Linked DNA regions of Drosophila melanogaster. The protein of the gene in region 1 interacts with the protein of each later gene in a pairwise test. Each region holds a gene or a part of one and is shown on either strand. Other genes may lie near its edges. The genes, in order: AnxB9 and kst.

Region 1 (11,272 bases):
TAGTCATGACCCACAGCCGACTTGTCCATGCGGTCCTTCTCAACGCCAAACTTGCCCCCGTATCCGTATCCTGCGTTCTGATCCTTCAGCAGCTGCTTCTTCTTGTCCAGATCGGCCTGCTCCGTCTCCTCGCGCAGCTTGTCCATGCTAAAAAGAATAAAGAAAGGGAACAATGAACCCGATACCCAGTGTTTCGAGAATTTCGGATGACTCACTCGATGGTGCCTGCTGTGCGACCGCTGCCGTCGATCGTCTTTGATCCCCAGCGCTGCTCCTGCTCACTGACATCGTTCACGAAGTCCGGATCCGTCTCCCAGTCGTCGTCCTCCGCGGAGGCTGCACTGGTGGCCTGAATCTGGTGACCGGCACTTGCCTTCCACATTCTTTTTACCGGTTTCTGGTCGCTGGTTACTCGCTTATCCTTATCTGCTGGGTAGATAGATAAACACCATGACGAGTGTGAGTAGTCGGGGCAGGTTTTCAGTTGCAGGGGCTCCGCTTCCGATTCGTGGCCCAGATAACAAGTCACAAAACACCGAAGAAGGGAGGGGCCGACAAAGCCGGATCGGGAACAAGATGCCACTGGCGCTCTATGTTCATATGTATACTCACATCCCGATGACTAACTCCTACTGCAAGAGGAACTTATGATCTGATGCCGCTAGGGATGTCTGCAAATTTCTGGGAGGAGAAGGGTTAAACAATTGATTCATAAAGAGACCAACAAACGGGAAACTAACTGAACTAAATTTCATTCGATACAATGGATGCATCGATATGCTACGAAAAGCCGATAAATTATTGTGATGAGCTTGACAAAAGGTAGTTGCTGCAGTTTTAGGGGCGCCCAATTTAAATGATTAAGAGATACAGTCGTGGTTCTTTTACTTTATTCGATAAGTCAATGCACCGATATATACTGCAGTACCAATATATGTGATCGTGATCAATAGAACTGAGTGCTCGGGCAAAAGGTATTTGATGTTATACCAAGTGGCGCCATAGTAATTTGTATAATTAATAAGATTCTGCCAGAACGGTAATTAACAGGTATAAGAGTTGACTTTTTTCATATAACCGCAAACATATCATCGATATATCGATAGTTTTGGATTTGAATTTGCTTCGATGTCGGCTGACAATTAACGTAATTGGTTTTTATATATAGTTATAAAAATACAAATAAAAATAGTTATAAAACGGCTTAGGAAGGAACAGGATATTTATTTAACTGTATTGCCCTAACGGCTGAATATTGAAGTCAAAGGTTACATTTTGAAATTCAATGCGTAATCAGATCTTATTTTCCCAATGTCGTCATTATCACAACGGAAATATCATGAATGTCTCAACAGCTTCCAATGCCGATGATTCATCCATCTCGGAACACTTTAGATTCTACGGTGTATACTATGACGACGCAGAAGATACCAGCTTCCAGTTAGGCGCTACCACCGAATATTTCCTAGCAACAACAACCTATCGCCGGTTGGTTCATCTCTAATCGACTTCCAGCGAGAGAGCGCGAGTATAAAAGCCAAAGACGGAGCGCAAACAGCTATGGTATTTATTCACATCGCTTGCAGTTCGCATCGTCTGACTTGTACGTTGAAAATCGAATATCATTGGTAAATCAAAAGGAATTTGTAGATAAAACTCATTGTTTACTCTCGCTGTGCCAGAAATCGCAAAAAATCAAGCGGAAAATCAGTCGGAAAAGTGAGAAAAGAAAGTGTGTGCTAAACACTCAAAGATAATTTTCATTTGTGCCATTCCAAAATGGGCATTTTGTAGAATTCTAGTTGTGGGTGCGGTATCGCGAGAATTCTCCAGAATCTTGTTTCTCTATTTACTTTATATTTCAATAATAAAAGCCTCGGGTGGGAGAAAAATTCAAAACCGAAAGATGACATCATCAAACTCAAAAGCAAAAGCCCCACTCTTTTGGCGTTTTCTCTCGCGACGCGTGTGACTTTTCTCATCTCCGACGAAATCTAAGTAAACTTTTCTGTTCCTTTCTTGCTTTCCCATTTTACGTAGGAATGAGAAGCGGAATTTTTCGAAATATCTCTATCCCCCAGTGCCCTGCTTAATTTAGTAATTCAATCAACTTCAATTGCCCGACAGGCACTTCAAACTACAGTAAGCACTGTGTATGAGCGCCTGTGCCTTGCTCAGCATTACTCACCGGAATCGGATGTGGCCACATTCCACCGTCCACAAAATATAGTAGTAGTGTACTCGAGGCCGTGCAATTATAGTAGAATAGGTGTGTCATCAAGGTTTATTACTAAGTGAATTGCTCAGTGCATTTGCAAAACATTTTTGAAACATTTCGAGGTACAGTCCATCGAGGTCTCCAAAAGAAGTTGGCAAAAGCTTTTGTTTATGGAGTTTTTCACACATGGTCACGAGCTATTCCAGTTTTTACACCTATATTATAATATCTCTTTTTTAAAGTCGTGCTCAGAGCTTAAAATTGACGTCACAAATCTGGTGAATCACTGAGTGCTGTAATTTCAATGTATCATCAGTCTATTTCAAGAACAACATTACCAGATACGCTATGCTAAAGCATATCTATCAATCTTGTTTTTTCCAGACCCCAACCACTTTTTATAATGAAACAAAAGAATTGTAATTAAGGGTGTTTTCAAACACAAATGTGTTTTCTACATTGAGGTCAAACTATTACGGAGAACTCCAATCAATATTTAGAGAGTCTAACCAATTATTATTGATTACATTATTCTCAACTTGCATTATAATTTATTTAAAAAGAAATCATATATTAACTAAAGTAGTCTATAAACACTAGAATCTTGAGTTTAATTGTACGCCATACGTAAAAGAACCGGTTTCAACGTTGGCCAAAACATTTTGTTTGTTTATAGCTCGACTGCAGAGGCGTTTGTAGTTGTATCTTTTTGTTAACTTTTTTGTTTTTTTGGATGGCGTCGCCACGTCAAGTCTTTTATAATGCTTTTTTCGGCTGCCTTTTGTTGACTTTCTACTTTGGCGGCAGCATAGAAAGGCAAACATGTATTTTCAGCACTGTCGCACTGTGATTACTAATTTGGGGAAGCTATCAAAAATCTCAATCCATTTATCATTAGGTAATTTGGCCCTATTGATTTTAGGGATTATGTGGACTAGTCCCTCGAGATAGTGTTCCACTTGACAACTGAAGTGGAGTGGTAGATCTAGAACGCAAACGGGTGACGAGTCAGACATTTCCCTGAAGCTTTCTCTTGGCCACAACCAAGCCGTGCCCGATGTTTTCCAAGCCAGAACGCAATGAGCTCATCCGTTTATGAGGCCACTTCGTGTGGGTTTGGTCTGGCCTATCACGAAACTGCCGCGCCATGCCATTTGGCTATCAGACGCACCCGGTTCCAAGGTTCGTTCCTCCGCAAACTGCGTACTGAAAAGTGGAAACTTTCACTTTTCCCCGGCAGTACGTTGAACTTCGATTTGGGCACCGGTCGGCAAGGAAAACTAAAAAAAAAAACATCTCGGTAAATAAACTAGGAAAAAAAATCAATGGGTAAAAATGCTCTCAGACCAGCGCCAGGCTGGCTACGGGGCGTATGCGTAATGTGAGGCTTTTACGAGTTGATGATGTCACCAGGCAGGAATTAACCGAAGGCCGGGCTTATTGGGTCTGGGAAACATAACGTATCCAACATTGCTGGGGGTTCAGTTTTCATCACGATTTCGGCGTAGCCATTATTCATTATGATTTCTCACTTCCTACTTACAGATTTTTCACAACAAACCAATCAAAATGAGTTCCGCTGAGTACTACCCATTCAAGGTGAGTTTACAATGGATTGTACTTTATGAGTCTGGTATAAATCAATTATTTCATGCGATTAGCGCCGTTAATGTAAAAAATCAGATCAAATTAGATTCAACAGATAGATGAGAATATCTTAATATTATTTTTTCTAAAACGTGTGTTGTTGTCAAGTAAGCAAGATTTTTCTCGATGCAATCTATAAATTATTACAACGACCAGATGCTACGAAATTATCTATAATTGGGCTATTAAATTATCATCAGAGGTGTATACTAGACAATCGTTGACAAACAAGTACCGATTGGTGGGAGAAGAGAGTGATAAGAGGGTTTCAGTTATGAGTTCCTTAGATAAGAGTCACAACGAAAAAAAAAGTCAATTTAGAAAGCTAACTTTATTGCAGAGGAATTCATGCAATACTGAGATAATACATGTAGGGAATAACCACATATGTATTTGTATTTAGAACAAGTGCCACTGAGTAGTGTTGAGTCATTTCTTTGGGATTACGTGCCCTGCATTAAAATACACCCAATTCTTCTTTGTTGTTACTCATTTGCTGATTGCCTATATTCGATTTGCAGTGCACACCCACTGTCTACCCGGCGGATCCCTTCGATCCCGTCGAGGATGCGGCTATTCTGCGCAAGGCGATGAAAGGCTTCGGCACCGACGAGAAGGCCATCATCGAGATCCTGGCCAGGCGTGGCATCGTCCAGCGTTTGGAGATCGCTGAGGCGTTCAAGACCTCGTACGGCAAGGACCTGATCTCGGACCTCAAGTCCGAACTGGGCGGCAAATTCGAGGATGTTATCCTGGCTCTGATGACGCCGCTGCCCCAGTTCTATGCCCAGGAGCTGCACGACGCCATCTCGGGACTGGGAACCGACGAGGAGGCCATCATCGAGATCCTCTGCACGCTGTCCAACTACGGCATCAAGACCATTGCCCAGTTCTACGAGCAGAGCTTCGGCAAGTCCCTAGAGTCCGACCTGAAGGGCGACACCAGTGGCCACTTCAAGCGGCTGTGTGTCTCGCTCGTCCAGGGCAACCGGGATGAGAACCAGGGCGTGGACGAGGCCGCGGCCATCGCCGATGCCCAGGCTCTGCACGACGCCGGCGAGGGACAGTGGGGCACAGATGAGTCCACCTTCAACTCGATCCTGATCACCCGCTCCTACCAGCAGCTGCGCCAGATCTTCCTCGAATACGAGAATCTGTCGGGCAACGACATCGAGAAGGCCATCAAGCGGGAGTTTAGCGGCTCCGTGGAGAAGGGTTTCCTGGCCATCGGTACGTTCTTATAGCATCCTATTCTTTAGGGTCCCTTCTAACTGATGCATTGCTCTGCAGTCAAGTGCTGCAAGTCCAAGATCGACTACTTTTCGGAGCGCCTGCACGACTCAATGGCCGGCATGGGCACCAAGGACAAGACGCTGATCCGCATCATTGTCAGCCGGTCGGAGATCGATCTGGGTGACATCAAGGAGGCATTCCAGAACAAGTACGGCAAGAGCTTGGAGTCCTGGATCAAGGTAAATACCGATTTCAATTACATTCATATCTGCGTGTGCTTGCCAGAACTTTCGATTCTGCACCCTGTTCAATGTGCCACTAACTCGCATTCGATTGCACCTGCAACAAATCCCATTAATTGTGGCTCCATCAAAGTTTAATAATCGTTCATCCAAGCTGGCTTCTCCTGTTGTTGTTACTGCTCCTTTGCCCAACACTTTCTTGCCGATTTCTGAAGCCATTATCCCTTCCCGCCCGATTGCTTCATTTGTGTGCATAAAACATTAAAACTTGGCATATTCTATATTTTTAGGGCGATACATCCGGCGATTATAAGCGTGCCCTATTGGCTATTGTTGGCTTCTAAAAAGAACCCCATCCAACAATAATTTATCTCTTTCGTCTGTTCCACGCTCTAAACTATATGCAAACAGAATGTACAAACAAAATTCCGATATCAAATAGTTGACAATGTATAGTTTTTGAATTGGAACACGTTTTAACGAAGACGCAGTGCATTTAAGTCGTAGAATCAGAACCCCAGTCTCGCATCCTGTTGATTATTATAACCATTGTGACTTTTATTATTATGACTATGCACGCCACATGCACATAATTGTATCTCTATAATTACTACACCTCAGGCTACTTGCATTGCTGTGTAGGTATACTTTCAGTTTTGTTTTGAGTCTCATTTGCAAGATATTTTAACTTTTAAAAAATACGAAAATAAAAAATACGAAAAAATGAAATACAAAATTCAAATCGAGTTTCTGTTACCTTTAGCAGAGGTCTCTGCACTGCTTGTCATGTAAATAACAGCGCTACATTGGGTCGCCTAACATCAAAACATTAAACATTAAAAAGGGCGTGGATTAAACCAACTTAAAAATCGATTTAAATGGGGCTAAATGAGTATATTAGCCCTCTTTAATTGTCTATATAAACTAGATCAGCAAGTGTATAAGGTATACAAACTGTTAAATATAGTTCAATTTAGATCTAAATATACTTGCACTGCTTGCTAAAAGTACATGTCAATTACATGTAAATATAATGTACATACAATTTCAAGATGTAAAACTTTAAATGTTATGTTAAATTTGAAAGACATTCATTTGCTGATCAGGTAGATATATAGTTGATTACCCCTTGGAGGAGTAGCTTCCGGCAATTAACCAAACCATAAGCCATGTATACAAAGTAAAAGGCGTTTAATGCTCTGACCCTCTGCTCTTTTCACGCTTTTCTCTACCCGTTTAAACGAACCAACAACAGGAGGATGCCGAGACCGATATTGGATACGTCCTGGTCACTCTTACGGCTTGGTAGACGGAAGCAGCCGGAATATCCGAATATCTATGAGCAATACCCCACTGTTCAAGTAGAAAATGCCAAAAACAAAAAAACGTTGCATTTCCCCAAAAAAAAGTATAACAAAAGCGAAGAACAAATGGAGTTGGTCTATATACAGTAGTTGTGATGTGTTCTAAAAATCCAATCTACAAAACGCTTAGTATTTTCCCTCTGTGCAATAACGTCTAACGTTCAACGATTATTTAACATTTTTACGTATTTTTATTTTGTATACATGTCTTTTTTTATTGTAAATTATGGCGCATCAAAGTCGTATGCGTAGTTTGTGCTTGTATTAACTAATAAAGTTGGCTTACACTCAACGGCAAAGCTGGGTCACATTCACCATCCACTGATCTCCTTTCCAGGACGACCTCTCCGGAGACTACAGCTACGTCTTGCAGTGCCTGGCCTCCTACTAAGGATTTCCTCGTTGGATCGATTGTTAACCATTCTATTTGTTGTAACTCTTACTTTAAGGCAAGCATCGTTTGCCAACTGTTTTGCGGAAGATTCATAGCCTATGTTCAATTCATAAATGCACTGTAAAATCGCGGTAAATAATTGGAAGATTTTTTCACTTATCTAGGGTAACCGAAACCAAGGGGGAATGGGTATTGGGGAATATTCGTTAAGGGGGAATGCTGTTTGGGTTTTCTACTTGGCAACTCGATCCTGGTAGGCTGCCCACAGGCGGTCGCGGTACGTCTGAGCCGCCTGCTTCGGGCTGCTGGCCTTCAGAATGCCCCTGCCCACCACTCCGATGTCGGCACCCCGCTCCTTGACCACATGCTCCGGACTCTGGTACTGCTGGCCCAATTGGTCCACGCCCTCGTCTATCTTCACACCGGGCGTCAGTTGCAGAAGTCCGGGGAAGGCAAAGGCATCGGAGGATTGGCATACCACACCGGCAACGAAATCTACATCGGCTCCCTCGGTTGCGATCTTGTTGCTGTTCTCCTTGTACTTGGCGTCGATCAGGTTGCCGCTGGCAGACATCTCCGCCAGCAGGAAGACGCCGCGTTCCTTGCCGGCTCCTCCTTCGCCAAGGCCCGCCTTCAGACCCTGCAGAATACTACGTCCAGGTAAGGTGTGGGCCGTGACCAGATCTGCCCAACTGGAAATCTTATAGATGCCCTTGCCGTACTGCAGGGACACCGTGTTGCCGATGTCTGCAAACTTGCGATCCTCCATCAGCAGGAAATTGTGCCGCTGGGCCAGAGCTTGCAGGTCAGCGATGAATTTATCACTGAAATCCTCCACAATGTCTACGTGCGTCTTCAGCAGGCAAATGTACGGACCGCACTTGTCGGCCACGTCCAGGATCTCATCGGCGTGTGTCAGGTCGGCGGCCAAGCAGAGGTTCGTCTGTTTGCTGGCTATCAGGTTGAAGAGGCGCTTGGCCACCGCGCTCTTAGCCAGATTGGCGCGATTCTCGTAGGTCAGTTTAGTGCGCTGCAAGTCGTTGGCTGCGGGGAAAGTGATGGTGATTAGTTAACACTTCAATTTTGAAACGTGCACGTAGACCTATCTTATCGCCTCTTCTTATCGCTATATGGTTGTTTTGTACCTATGCCAATTTTCTTCAATAGCTTCACACTTTGGCGATCCCAAAGTACATAACTCTTTTCAACTGGGAATCAATTTTGGCTATTGTTTATACAGTATCTTAAGAGTATATACAAAAGTTACTCCCCAAAGGCAAAGACGATGATTATGATGAGATTAGAATACTGTGACTTTACAGGTGGAAACAAAAAGCAAACCGGTTCCCATACATCTCATCAAAGCGCCATAAACGAAATGTGATTATTTATAGAAGATGGGCTTGATTGAAGGAGCAGGCTGGCTCTCGAGTGGGCTGATAAGCGTGGTGGCATAATTGAGTGCGGACCGGACACTGCCCTGAATCAGAATCACGTGCCGCATTCCCGGGAATGATCCGGTCCGATAGTGGAATCCAGATCGGCCTACCGCCGTTTATGGCGGTTGTATAACTTTATAGTAGCGCGACTGGAGCGCTCCCTAATTGAATTTGTTCGAGGCCATGTGCTGGCCGAGTGTCATGTACTTATTATCTATCTATGCATCTATCTATCTGGCAGATATCACGGGGATCTGGAGCATACGCACCTCTGACAACGTCGCCCTTATCGCCGCCGACGAAGGTACCATCGCTGTTGATTTGCACGGCGGCGATGTACTTGGCCACCGCCTCCACTGTGGACTTCTCGATGCGCCCGGCCTCGTGAAGTGTGTTCAGCAGAAAGGAGAGCGTGAAGAGCGAGTGCATCCGCACGCCGTGCTTGGCGATGTTGGCCACTCCGCCCTGCTCACGGTCTACGACGACCACGGCGTCGGTGACCACAATGCCCTCGCCTTGCAGATCCCGCACCGTGTCCAGGATGCTGGAGCCGGAGGTGACCACGTCCTCGACAATCAGACAGGTGTCGCCAGCATTGAAGATGCCCTCGACCAGCTTCTTGGTGCCGTACGCCTTGGCCTCCTTGCGCCGCACCAGCATGGGAGTTCCCTGCTGCACGGACACAATGGTGGCCAGCGGGAGCGCCGTGTAGGGAACACCGCACACGTGTTTGGCGCTCAGCTGCTTGTCCTTGATGTGTTCCACCAGCAGGTCGGATACGGTTTGCTGCGGGAAGACCAAGTTAGCTACTGCCATTGACATGGAGCACTAATCCCAAATACTGACCATCACATCCGGATAACTGACGATCACTCGGAGGTCGAAGTAGACCGGCGAATTTATGCCCACTTTCATCTTGAAGTCGCCGAACTTGAAGGCATTGATCTCGAAGAGCTTCAGGGCCAGGGCCCGCATTTTGTCGGAGTTCTGGGCAACCATGCTGGCAATTCTAAATCTCGATCTTAATTCTTCACACACGTGCTAGCTAGGCTCCAATAAGAACCGTCCAATTGGGAGTCTACGCTTTTTAAACATGCTGCCAGTGTGCACGTATCTGCTGTGACATTGGGGCACATTTCGAACACCCTAATTAAGGTACAAGTTCTGGTTGCGCCGCCTGGGTGGTTAACTTCGCTATGCCGCCAAACTTATCGAAGTTCAAATTATTATAAATGTCGTAGATTTTATCAACATTGGCTTCGAATTAATAAACGTTTATTATTAGTTATAGGGTAACAAAGTAGCATAAGTGTTAAGGTTTTGAAATAAACTATTTTGCATGTGAAATATTTCCCAAATTCATAAAATATATAACCTTTAGTTTCTGAGAAGTCTTAAGAAATTTCAAGGAAATGAATGGATGGATTATATACAATATTTTGTCCGCTGCATTGCTGTATTGTTCACTACTTAGCATTTGTAATCTGAAAGCTTTGGCTCCGCCCACAAACCCTTGACTGCAACTTCAAGGGGAGGAGTCTAGTCATTTTGCAACCACCAATGACAGTCCTGTAAGCTCATATTGCAAAATGAAAGCCAAAGCGCCTGCGTAAGTCAACAAAGTTTGCGCCATTCATTGAAACAATTCCAGATCCTTTGGCGCGTGTTTCCAAAATTTAGTTTCTTTTCGCTGGTCTCCAAATAAGTCGCAAATTTGTGCTCCAAAAGCGGCAACTTCTTAGTCGAAAAATCGGTTTTCTCTCAATCCATTTCTCGCCTGCGTTGCGATGGCCAGTTCAAGTGGTGAACCTGCTGATGAAGTGGCTAATAAGCGTCCTCGTCTTGTGGCTAATCCCAAGGCCACCAAAATAGTTGAACCCACACCGGCCAAGGTCACCAATCGGGTGCCCAAGTGCGCCCGCTGCCGGAACCATGGGATCATTTCAGAGCTGCGGGGTCACAAGAAGCTCTGCACCTACAAGAACTGCAAGTGCGCCAAGTGTGTCCTGATCTTTGAGAGGCAGCGGATCATGGCCGCTCAGGTAAGTTAGGATTTATATGCACGATGACAAGCAATCCTTTCTGCTTAATTGGCAATCATTGACATTACTATCCTCATTTTATGATTACTGCCCACTTGCTAACTTTAATGTCATCTATCCTGGATGGTAAAATCGCTATCCCAAAAATAGCTTTTTAAAAATTCGGTGCATTCGAATACAGAAAATTGCCTGGTTAGATCCATCCATAGACATCCAAACCATCCAGACCAGATATATTGCTCTAACATTCGGAGACTTTATTCCCAGTCCTTTAGAAAATTTCTTCTTGTAAAAACATATTCCCTTTATTAGCATTTACTTAAAATGACATATCAAATATTCTCAAAAGCCAAAAGTTTTCTAAAATAACTTCAGGATATTAATGTATAAATGTATAAGCATAAACGTAATTGTGTTTCATGTTGTATTGTTCGCAATGGATTCCGTGATCGATTTTTACTAGGTATAACTTTGAAACCCAATTTAAGCCTTTCGATTATAATTTAACTTGATTAATGTCACTGTTATATTTATAATTTACTAACCTGGGACGACAAACAAAAACACCTATTAGCAAGGGGAGCTTAAATTAACAATAGCACCGAAAACTCCGACATTTTCTTATATCGTGTTTTGTGACTTTGAATAACATTTTGGAAACATTAATTATTTTGGATTTCTGCGAAAATTGTT
Region 2 (8,335 bases), on another chromosome or scaffold:
AGCTGGTTGAGCGACTTTCTAGGTGTAGGTCTGGACCCCACCCGAATCTGATTCCGAATCGGAATCCGAATCCAATCGGTGGCCAATCCATTGTGAAGTAGAGCGTTAACTGTGGGACACCGTTACGCTGCAGCGACTTCTAGAGACGATGGGCCTCTGCCAATGGCATCCGCATCTACCTTTATAGGCAGGTTCATAGCTGAAGCCGGGTCCGACCCTGGTTTACTTACATTTGCTATGCGCTTGCCGCTCTTCTGCTCGTTCTTCATGCGTGCAAAGGTGTGATAGTAGGAGGCCACATAGGTCAAGATCGACTTCTCATCGGGACGGGCCGAGTCAATGTCTTCCGCATCGAGCAGGCTAAAAGGGGGGCGAACAAATTACAATTAATTTTATTGACATATTTTTTATAATTTACAAAATTCTGACCTGGGAATGCCCAATTCGTTGGCGGCCGTGTCAAAGGCATGGTTAAGGTTGTCCAGGTTGGAGTTCTTCGAATTGACAATCGTACTGTACTCAAACAGATCGGGACGGTGCGAGTGGATGAGCGCATTGAAGCCCAAGCCGGAGCGCCAGGAGTTGGTGAAGTCGGTGATGTTGACGCCCGGATAGCCATGCGTCTTGCGCTGGCACCACAGGAGCAGTGCATCTTTGGCGGAACGCTTCTCGCTGGACTCGTTCTCCTCATCCTAAGTGAAACGAATTGGAATTATAAATTAAGCACTTTTGCTATGTGACTTGCGAAGGGACAACTTACCACATCGATTTCAATTTCCTGAATCTGAAACCGCAGAATGATGGTCCAGATAAGACCGAGAATGAGACGGGGGTTGCCATCGACGATGTCCTCAGCACCAATGGACTCCAGACGGACCTAAGACGAAAGAAACCATCATGCATTATTTCCATTCTCCACTCCACACTATCTCTTCTGCATTTCTTTCAGTTCCCGTTTGGTGAATGGAGTGGGTAAGCTGCGTATTGGGTTACCAAGAGTTCCACATCCCACAGATGCCGATACATTCGAACTGGGTCTGCGCCTGTCCAGCAAGACACGCTTTATCAGGTGGAGGTGCTTGACCCCCGGTGGGTTCATGTGGGTCGCTCGCCTGCCATTTGCATTTATAGTGGGTCAGGGCGCGGACAGGTAACGCGCACGATAATCCCAGCGAGGAAAGCATAAGTTACTAGCTGATACCGATCTAAATCGCATTATCATAGCTACAAAGTGGCCAGCGGTTGGCTGCTGATTTATGTCCAGGTGGAAAATTGAGATGGAGAGCTCTCGTCTGCAGACCATTTAGCATTTACTAAAAACTAGTTTACGAATTAGAATTTTAAGAACCAATTACGGCTTCTTTTTAAATTCATAGCAGATAAAGGGGAATCTGGAGGTGGGTTAATCATAGATTTATGATCGATTTTGTGCATATTTATAGGAATTTAAATAGTATTGTCAAAATCATAAATTATATATACATTTATAATTTATGTATGGCAGATTATCGTTTTTAATAGTTCATAAGAAGGCAGTAAGCTAACTTTATTCCTATTCCCCGACAAACCGTTTGCTTTAATAGACTCGTTCCGAGTTATTCTGGTACATTAATGTTTAGTAGGGAGCTACGCCTTTTGGTTCTCCTAATGGCGACTGGAAATTCCAAGAGTCGTGCTCCGCTAAACGCTTCAATGAGTCCCCAAGGGATCCTCCATCGAATGCTCGCTTGTGCGTAAATCTTTCGCTCGGGCTTCTTTCAAGCCTAAACACCAATTAAAATGCACTCAATACCCGTGTCACACACAAAAGACAAGCCCGAAAAACAAATGAAATACGAAATGGAATGAAATGAAATGGTGAAAAGTAAAACCGAAAACTTTCACTGCTTCGCCGCTTAAGAAACAAAGTGAATTAGTTGGACAGTGGGACAATTTGATGCGTTTTAATTGCTTCTAATTAGATTAGACCAGAGGCACCTGACTAGCCAGAAGATTCGAAACTATGTCGCACGCTAAGCTCCCACTTTGCTCAATTAAAATCAAATGCGCACGAGAGGTGCAAAGAAAGTACACATGTATAGTATGAGCGCGGCAGTGGAAAATGTGCCAAGCGCAACAAAGTGAAGTGAAGTCAAGGAAAAAATGCATTAGAAAGTATGCAAATATTTCAGATATTGCCAAGAAAACGCGGTGCCCAGGCTAGGTAATTAAATATATACTTTTTCGCCATGTCTTGACGTCGCCTCACACTTCCCGCTTCCCCGAGATCCGAAATCCCGACTCCAACAGCCAGATCCGTGCACCTCATATGGCAAACAAAGCACGCAATGGCCACGCGCAGCTGCGCAGGCGCGACTTGCACTTTCTACAAATGCGTAGAGAGCTTTACACTCTCCAGTCTTCAGTCTTCGGTCTTTGGTCTTCCAGCAACTGCAACGCCTTCACTCCCTTCACTCGCCGCCATTTATGTGGCATATCTCACCTTGGTGTGCAAGAATGCCAGACTCTTGTTGACATTTTCGATTTTATGGACGCGCATGCGTCCGCTGTTCGGCTTGCCCAGTTTCTCCGACGATATGATCTCCAGCAGCTTCAGCAGCTTGATGCCATCGGCCAGGTCTGTGAATAGGTCTTCGACCTCCATTTTGGCCTACAAAGAAGACGATAAGCCCAAATGTGAGTTGCATTCATAAATTGGTGGGGCCATAAAAGTTTCTTCCAATCAAAATTTCAAGTGAATGTATAATTTCGAATGTCATATACATATGGCGCTTTCATTTGAATACATCACTTTGATCGAGAAATTATAGTATTTAAACAATGAAAACTTTATGTGCTTAGCAAAACAAAGCATTTCTTTCATTTGTACTTTATAGTAATTAAATTACAAGTATTGGGAGTGATGAGTGACTCAAGTAGTTTACACACCTTGATCAGAAACGAGTTCATCCATTTTGTGAATGTCTTCTTCTGGATGTGCAAGCGCTCCTCCTGCAGCGTTTTGATCCGCTCGTTCTCGAACTTGATGATGCCGTCCCGCTGGGTCATGTTGGCGGAGTTGCGATTGGAAGGCGTCGGTGTCTGCAGCGCGGAGTAGCCTCCCGGCTCATATTGTGATGCTAAGTGGGGGGAAGGGAGGAGGAACAAAAATCTCGGATTAGTTCGAAGTCATATAAATGCAACGCGAAACGTTTAGGCTTAGTGTTTGTTTTGATTTTTTTTCATTTTTTTTGTATTTTTTTCCAGGAAAGAGAAATGGGCAAACCACCTGACAACAGACCAAAATCAATAATGGGCATAGGGAAAATAGAGGAAAAATACGAAAGGTATGTGGCAGAGATAGGGAAAGCACGACCGTGACGTACGAACCTATTGATTTAGAGATAACGAGTTATCGCCAACATAATTGCCTCTATAAAAAAATCCCTGGCTAAAGTTAGAACCACATTCCAAGGCAGTTTATTTGTAGTCTTTCGATTATGTCAAACGTAATTCCTAATTTTAAATCATTCCATCAGTGGGTTCCCATAATGTCAAAGATTACCAACGGGTATTTCAAACGAAGAACCAACAATCACTTTTTATTCGAACGCCTCATCACGTACTTTTGTTTTCTAGACCCGTTAAGATAAGCCATGTGTCGATTGGCGTTTCACATTTAGATCTTAGCTGAACAAAATTGTGAACACCTTTTTGAGTAAGCTTGATAGTGAATTTTAAAATATAGTGAAAGATTTTTAAGATGTAGAAATTAGCAATCTGTTGCTTTATTTCAAGTAACTTTACCTCATGAAAGAGTAAGGTATCTTTAAATTTCTTTTGCTAACAAGTGTAAGATAATTTCAACTCTACCAACTATAAACAAACCAAGCTGTGACCAACTTTCCAACCCAGTAGATATACCCCCAGCTAGCGTATCGAAATCAAAACAGTCGCTGCCCAGCGATAGTGGTTCTGCGAGCTTATCTGTCGACTGCCAAAATTACTTCATACCTATGGAAAATGCTTCACGACTTTGTTACTTTTTTTTTATCAACGGTTCGTTTTACGTAATACTGGACAAGAGAATATGTTAAAAAGTGAACAAAATTGGAGCGGAAACTGCAGAAAGCGAAACCATTTTTCTAGGCCGTTGACTCATTTGCCAAATATTTGCGCTCTTATCAACCAAATATGAAGTTCCACCCAACTGAGATAGATAAGAGCAGGTTACTTTCGTTTCGGGATTGTATAATGATCGCGAGCTTCCAGGGGAAAAGTTCAAGTTCAGAAACCTACCCAACGATTGGCGTTCGTAGGATATATATCGGCGATACTCGTTGCGCGAGAAATTCGAGCGCAGAACACTATTGTACTCCATGGCCTTTGATCAGTGATTTCTAGGGTGTTTCTCAAGATATCCGGGCTTTCAGCACCGAGTGCCGTTCCTTAAAGCTAATCTTTCGTTTTTTATTTCTATTTTGTATTTCGACACTAAGTTTCGTTCCTACGGTCAGATGTTCGCAGAGCCCGCGCCGTTTGGTCACTAAAAACAATGTGTGCCCAACATTTTGCACGCCCCAAAAATGTAGAGTGGGGGAAAGCTTCCTCCCCCTCTTGGCTCTGTTTATCAGATGAATTAAAAGCCAAATGCCAAGAGTGGCAACAAAAATGCTTCAACTGGCCTATGGTGAATTCCCTTTATCGCACGAGCTGATAGCAGTATGAGAAAACGGTTAAGGTATCTGAAAATCCTTGCCTTGACAAACAGCCAATAGACCCTGTCGGCTTATCTTATCGGTCCATAAATCCCGCATACCTCGGACATATGTTTTTCGGAATAAATACATATATATAGAGGGGAATGCACTTCCAATATCAAGTTATTTATGGCGCCCTATCAGATTCCGCAGACTAATGAATGGGCCATTTAGAATAGCTGCCAAATTCGATCATTCCCAATGACATCATGCCAAAGAGTTATAATCTGCTGTCTACTCGGGTCGGGTGTCATAACTCCGCTAATAGATCATTTACTATACATATGTGCCGCCAATGGCGTTGAGGTCACCTGGAAGGCATTCGCGGCTAATTGGCAAACAGAACACTTCGCTTTCGCAAATAGAAAAATCAATTAAAAAGAGGTGAAAACTAAACAATAAAAAACCAACAACACCAGTGTGACAATAAACTTTACCATACCGCGATAACGTTCGACGCTTATCATTATCGAGTGGCAAACAAAACCTAGAAAATGCAGAGTGCGGCATAACTTTAGGCTTAGCAGGAAAAGCAATTAAAACTGTGCCTCCTTGATCCCCAAAATAGAACGCATCCCCCAACTCACATACAGCTGTCTTTGGCCATAAACTATTTATACAACTAAAGTCGCCGGAAAAGGACGGCAGAGGCAAAGTCAGGGGCAAATGCGAACCGAGGCTCGAATTCCGGGCATCCTGTTTACTTCAATTGTGATACAACATGGTAGCACAGCACATGCGCGGCAGCTGGGAGCAGGAACACTCGGATTCCGCGCCTCTTTCTATTTATAAACCACCACACTTCACTCATCGCAAACACTTTGAAAACGATTTTTATAGATTTTCAACTTCTTCGGTGTTCTCTAGATCTTGTGTGTTCCACATACACGGTTAGCTAATGAACAAGGCGTGCAACAACCTCGGAGTTGTGTAAGAATTTGCATAAATCAATAAACATTTAGCATTTTGTATGCTTAATTTTTATGGCCCATACGCTAAGTCACACATATCATTTAGCAAATCCCGAATTAAATGATACTTTAAAGTATATCAAAAAGAAGTTAGGCATCTTTTTTTGGCAACCTTTTTCTACTCAGATAACATCCGAGGTAGTTACCGATTTTAATTACTTTTGCGTGAGTGATGGCATATGTCTGATAAAAGCGTAGTTTTTCAGCCATCTCCGCTTTGAACCGAAAATAATGAGACCTATAGCTCGGCAAATTAGGGAATTGGTGGTCTTTGTTGTCAAAAATTTCTACGCATAAAATTACCTCATCAGTGGCTGGAAATTAAAATTCAGTTTTGGCCTCAGTCGAAAAGAAGAATACAGATTGACACAACACAACAAGTAGAAACCCACAGTGATATAAATTCTTTTGTTTGTGCCTGGCATGCTAAACAATTTTTTAAAATCAACGAGAGAAAATAACAAACAATTTCAAAGAGAAAACAGCTAAGCTGGAGACGAAAGAGCCACAGACTTGGATTTAATTTAAACAATAGATCTAAACTGGAAATGATCTATAGAGTTACGTTTTTATTCTGCTAAAGTTGAACAGAGACTTATGATACTCTTAACTTAATATGAGATAGATAGATGAACAGAAATATATCTATCTTCACTCTTTTCTCATCAATAAATTCAAATATTACCCCAACTCCATTAAAAGCCAAATTATTGGGTGGAGCTTCGAATGATTACCAAACATTTTGGCTGATTATTGTCTCATAGCGATACAAATGCCAAAGAAATATTACATAGCTCGTCGATTGCTTTCATGGCTCTTGGTTGCCTTTTGCTTTTGTTGAAATCGAAATTGTTTATAGAGAGCTTCACTCCGCTCATGTTTTTTTTTTTTTTTTTTAACTTGCCTGGTACGATCGGACGTGTGTTGCCGTCCATATCTATGTGTCTATGTGATGTGCCCCAAAAGTTATTTGCGAAAATTAGTCAATGTTGAGCCACACTCAAAAGCCCCCAGCTCCTCGTGGCCATTGCCTTTATTATTGCTTTTTGGCATTTGGTCACGCCCCCCGGAGGGGCTGTACCACATACGATGCGATAGACACACAAAATACACCCGCAACCCATGTTGTTTTGATGACATCATCGTACCTCGAATCTGAGTTTGATTCAAAGCCCCAAAAATTCGTTATATTCTTCAGGGTTCTGCGCATGCGCCACCGGCTACCGAATTCGAATTGGTTTTCTCCCTGCCTTCGTGAGTTCTTTTTATTTGGGATTTGATTATGCAAATGCTAGATTCGTTTATTTGGGGCGCCGCTTCAGCGGTTTTAACTGATTTTTCAGTGAGACTTTGGCAATGAAAACCGTTTTCAATTGACGCTTTTCAACGGTTTTTCAGCGCTTTTCTCCGTGCTGGGAAAATCCATCGAGCCATGATTAGAATCCAAAAATTAAATAGTCAAGCGATGACATCACTTTTTAACGAATAGAAATCTCCGGGGACAAAAGAAGCAAATGAAGATGACAACGGGTGGGATTTATAGAGATTCCATAGATATAGCACAAATTCCTCGAAACAAATTTCTCTAAATTCATCCTTTGAGCACAATGAAAATCAATTAAAAATGAAATACGCAGGGCGGTTCCAAATACATAATAAATTTTAATCGATTGGAGATGCGAATCAACGAAAGATCCATTAATTTTGCGACCAAGGAGGAACTAGGCACGCGTCTTCATTTAATTGTGGTGTAATTAAGATTCGATATGGCGGATATAGGCCCATTAAACCAGATGGTTTCTGTAACAGTTGAGAGGAGCTAAGGAACAGGTTTCCAAGAAGCTATGAACTTTGATTGATTTCCTTTGATTGGTGGGAAGTGCCAGGCAATTATGGATTTCGCAGATCCAGGGGCGTTAAGTGTGACTAAATCGCTTTGATTGATTATCTACAACAGTATTCTAAGATTTTGAGATACAAACTACAAACGTATAAGCGGAAACAGACCATGTAACTCGATAATTACACTGAACAATCAAACCGAAGTTCGTTAATCTCTTATGGGAAAACTGGAAACTTTCACTTGAATGACACAAAGAAAATTGTCGAAAGCCAGCAGAAACTTTCAAACTATTCAAAAGTCGAGGCTAAGCTGTTCTACCAATTGTATTTCTGTTTGTTTTCTTTCCCAAAAAAAGCTGGTTTCTGATTAATTAGTTTCATCTACCCACTTCCCATTCGAATAGCGCCAAAAATATGACTTAATCGCAGATGATTTGCATATGGGGGAGACTCAATAAAAGCCGCCACACGTGTGAACCCAAAATTTTAAGCTCAACGAAGTTTGAGTCATCGAAGTGATATCTGGTTGTATAGTATATATTGTATATATAGTACATAAGTATATAAGCCAGCACTCATGACAAACACGTACCACTCACGACTAAGTCCAATATTTGCACAACAATCTAACACTTAGCTGGGGATTTAAGCTATTTCCGGCGCGTTTCGCAGGAAGTTTCCAAAAGTATTTCGCCTTATCGATTCAGTTTCGGTCGGGTTATTTTCCCTCAGAGTTCAGTGGGGTAAGGTCGCTCCTATCGGCAACAACCCTCGCAACGTTTT

Evidence for each region.
Region 2: the proteins of AnxB9 (region 1) and kst interact in a two-hybrid assay, tested with the Drosophila melanogaster proteins (one study listed by BioGRID).

Annotation. Positions count from the first base shown.
Region 1 is NT_033777.3:21,063,683-21,074,954, forward strand, and holds AnxB9 (annexin B9), read left to right. Parts: upstream 1-1,558; 5' UTR 1,559-1,719; intron 1,720-2,200; exon of another isoform or gene 2,201-2,269; intron 2,270-3,763; 5' UTR 3,764-3,787; coding exon 3,788-3,817; intron 3,818-4,386; coding exon 4,387-5,095; intron 5,096-5,155; coding exon 5,156-5,337; intron 5,338-5,630; coding exon of another isoform or gene 5,631-5,684; exon of another isoform or gene 5,685-6,072; intron 6,073-6,595; coding exon of another isoform or gene 6,596-6,649; exon of another isoform or gene 6,650-6,857; intron 6,858-6,874; exon of another isoform or gene 6,875-7,041; coding exon 7,042-7,095; 3' UTR 7,096-7,235; downstream 7,236-11,272. Other genes in the region: cortactin, read right to left, coding at 1-147, 216-382; r-l (rudimentary-like), read right to left, coding at 7,331-8,142, 8,807-9,323, 9,384-9,536; dmrt93B (doublesex-Mab related 93B), read left to right, coding at 10,325-10,579.
Region 2 is NT_037436.4:3,346,280-3,354,614, reverse strand, and holds the start of kst (karst), read right to left. Parts: upstream 4,508-8,335; 5' UTR 4,361-4,507; coding exon 4,279-4,360; intron 3,120-4,278; coding exon 2,929-3,119; intron 2,651-2,928; coding exon 2,483-2,650; intron 878-2,482; coding exon 761-877; intron 693-760; coding exon 430-692; intron 361-429; coding exon 231-360; intron 1-230.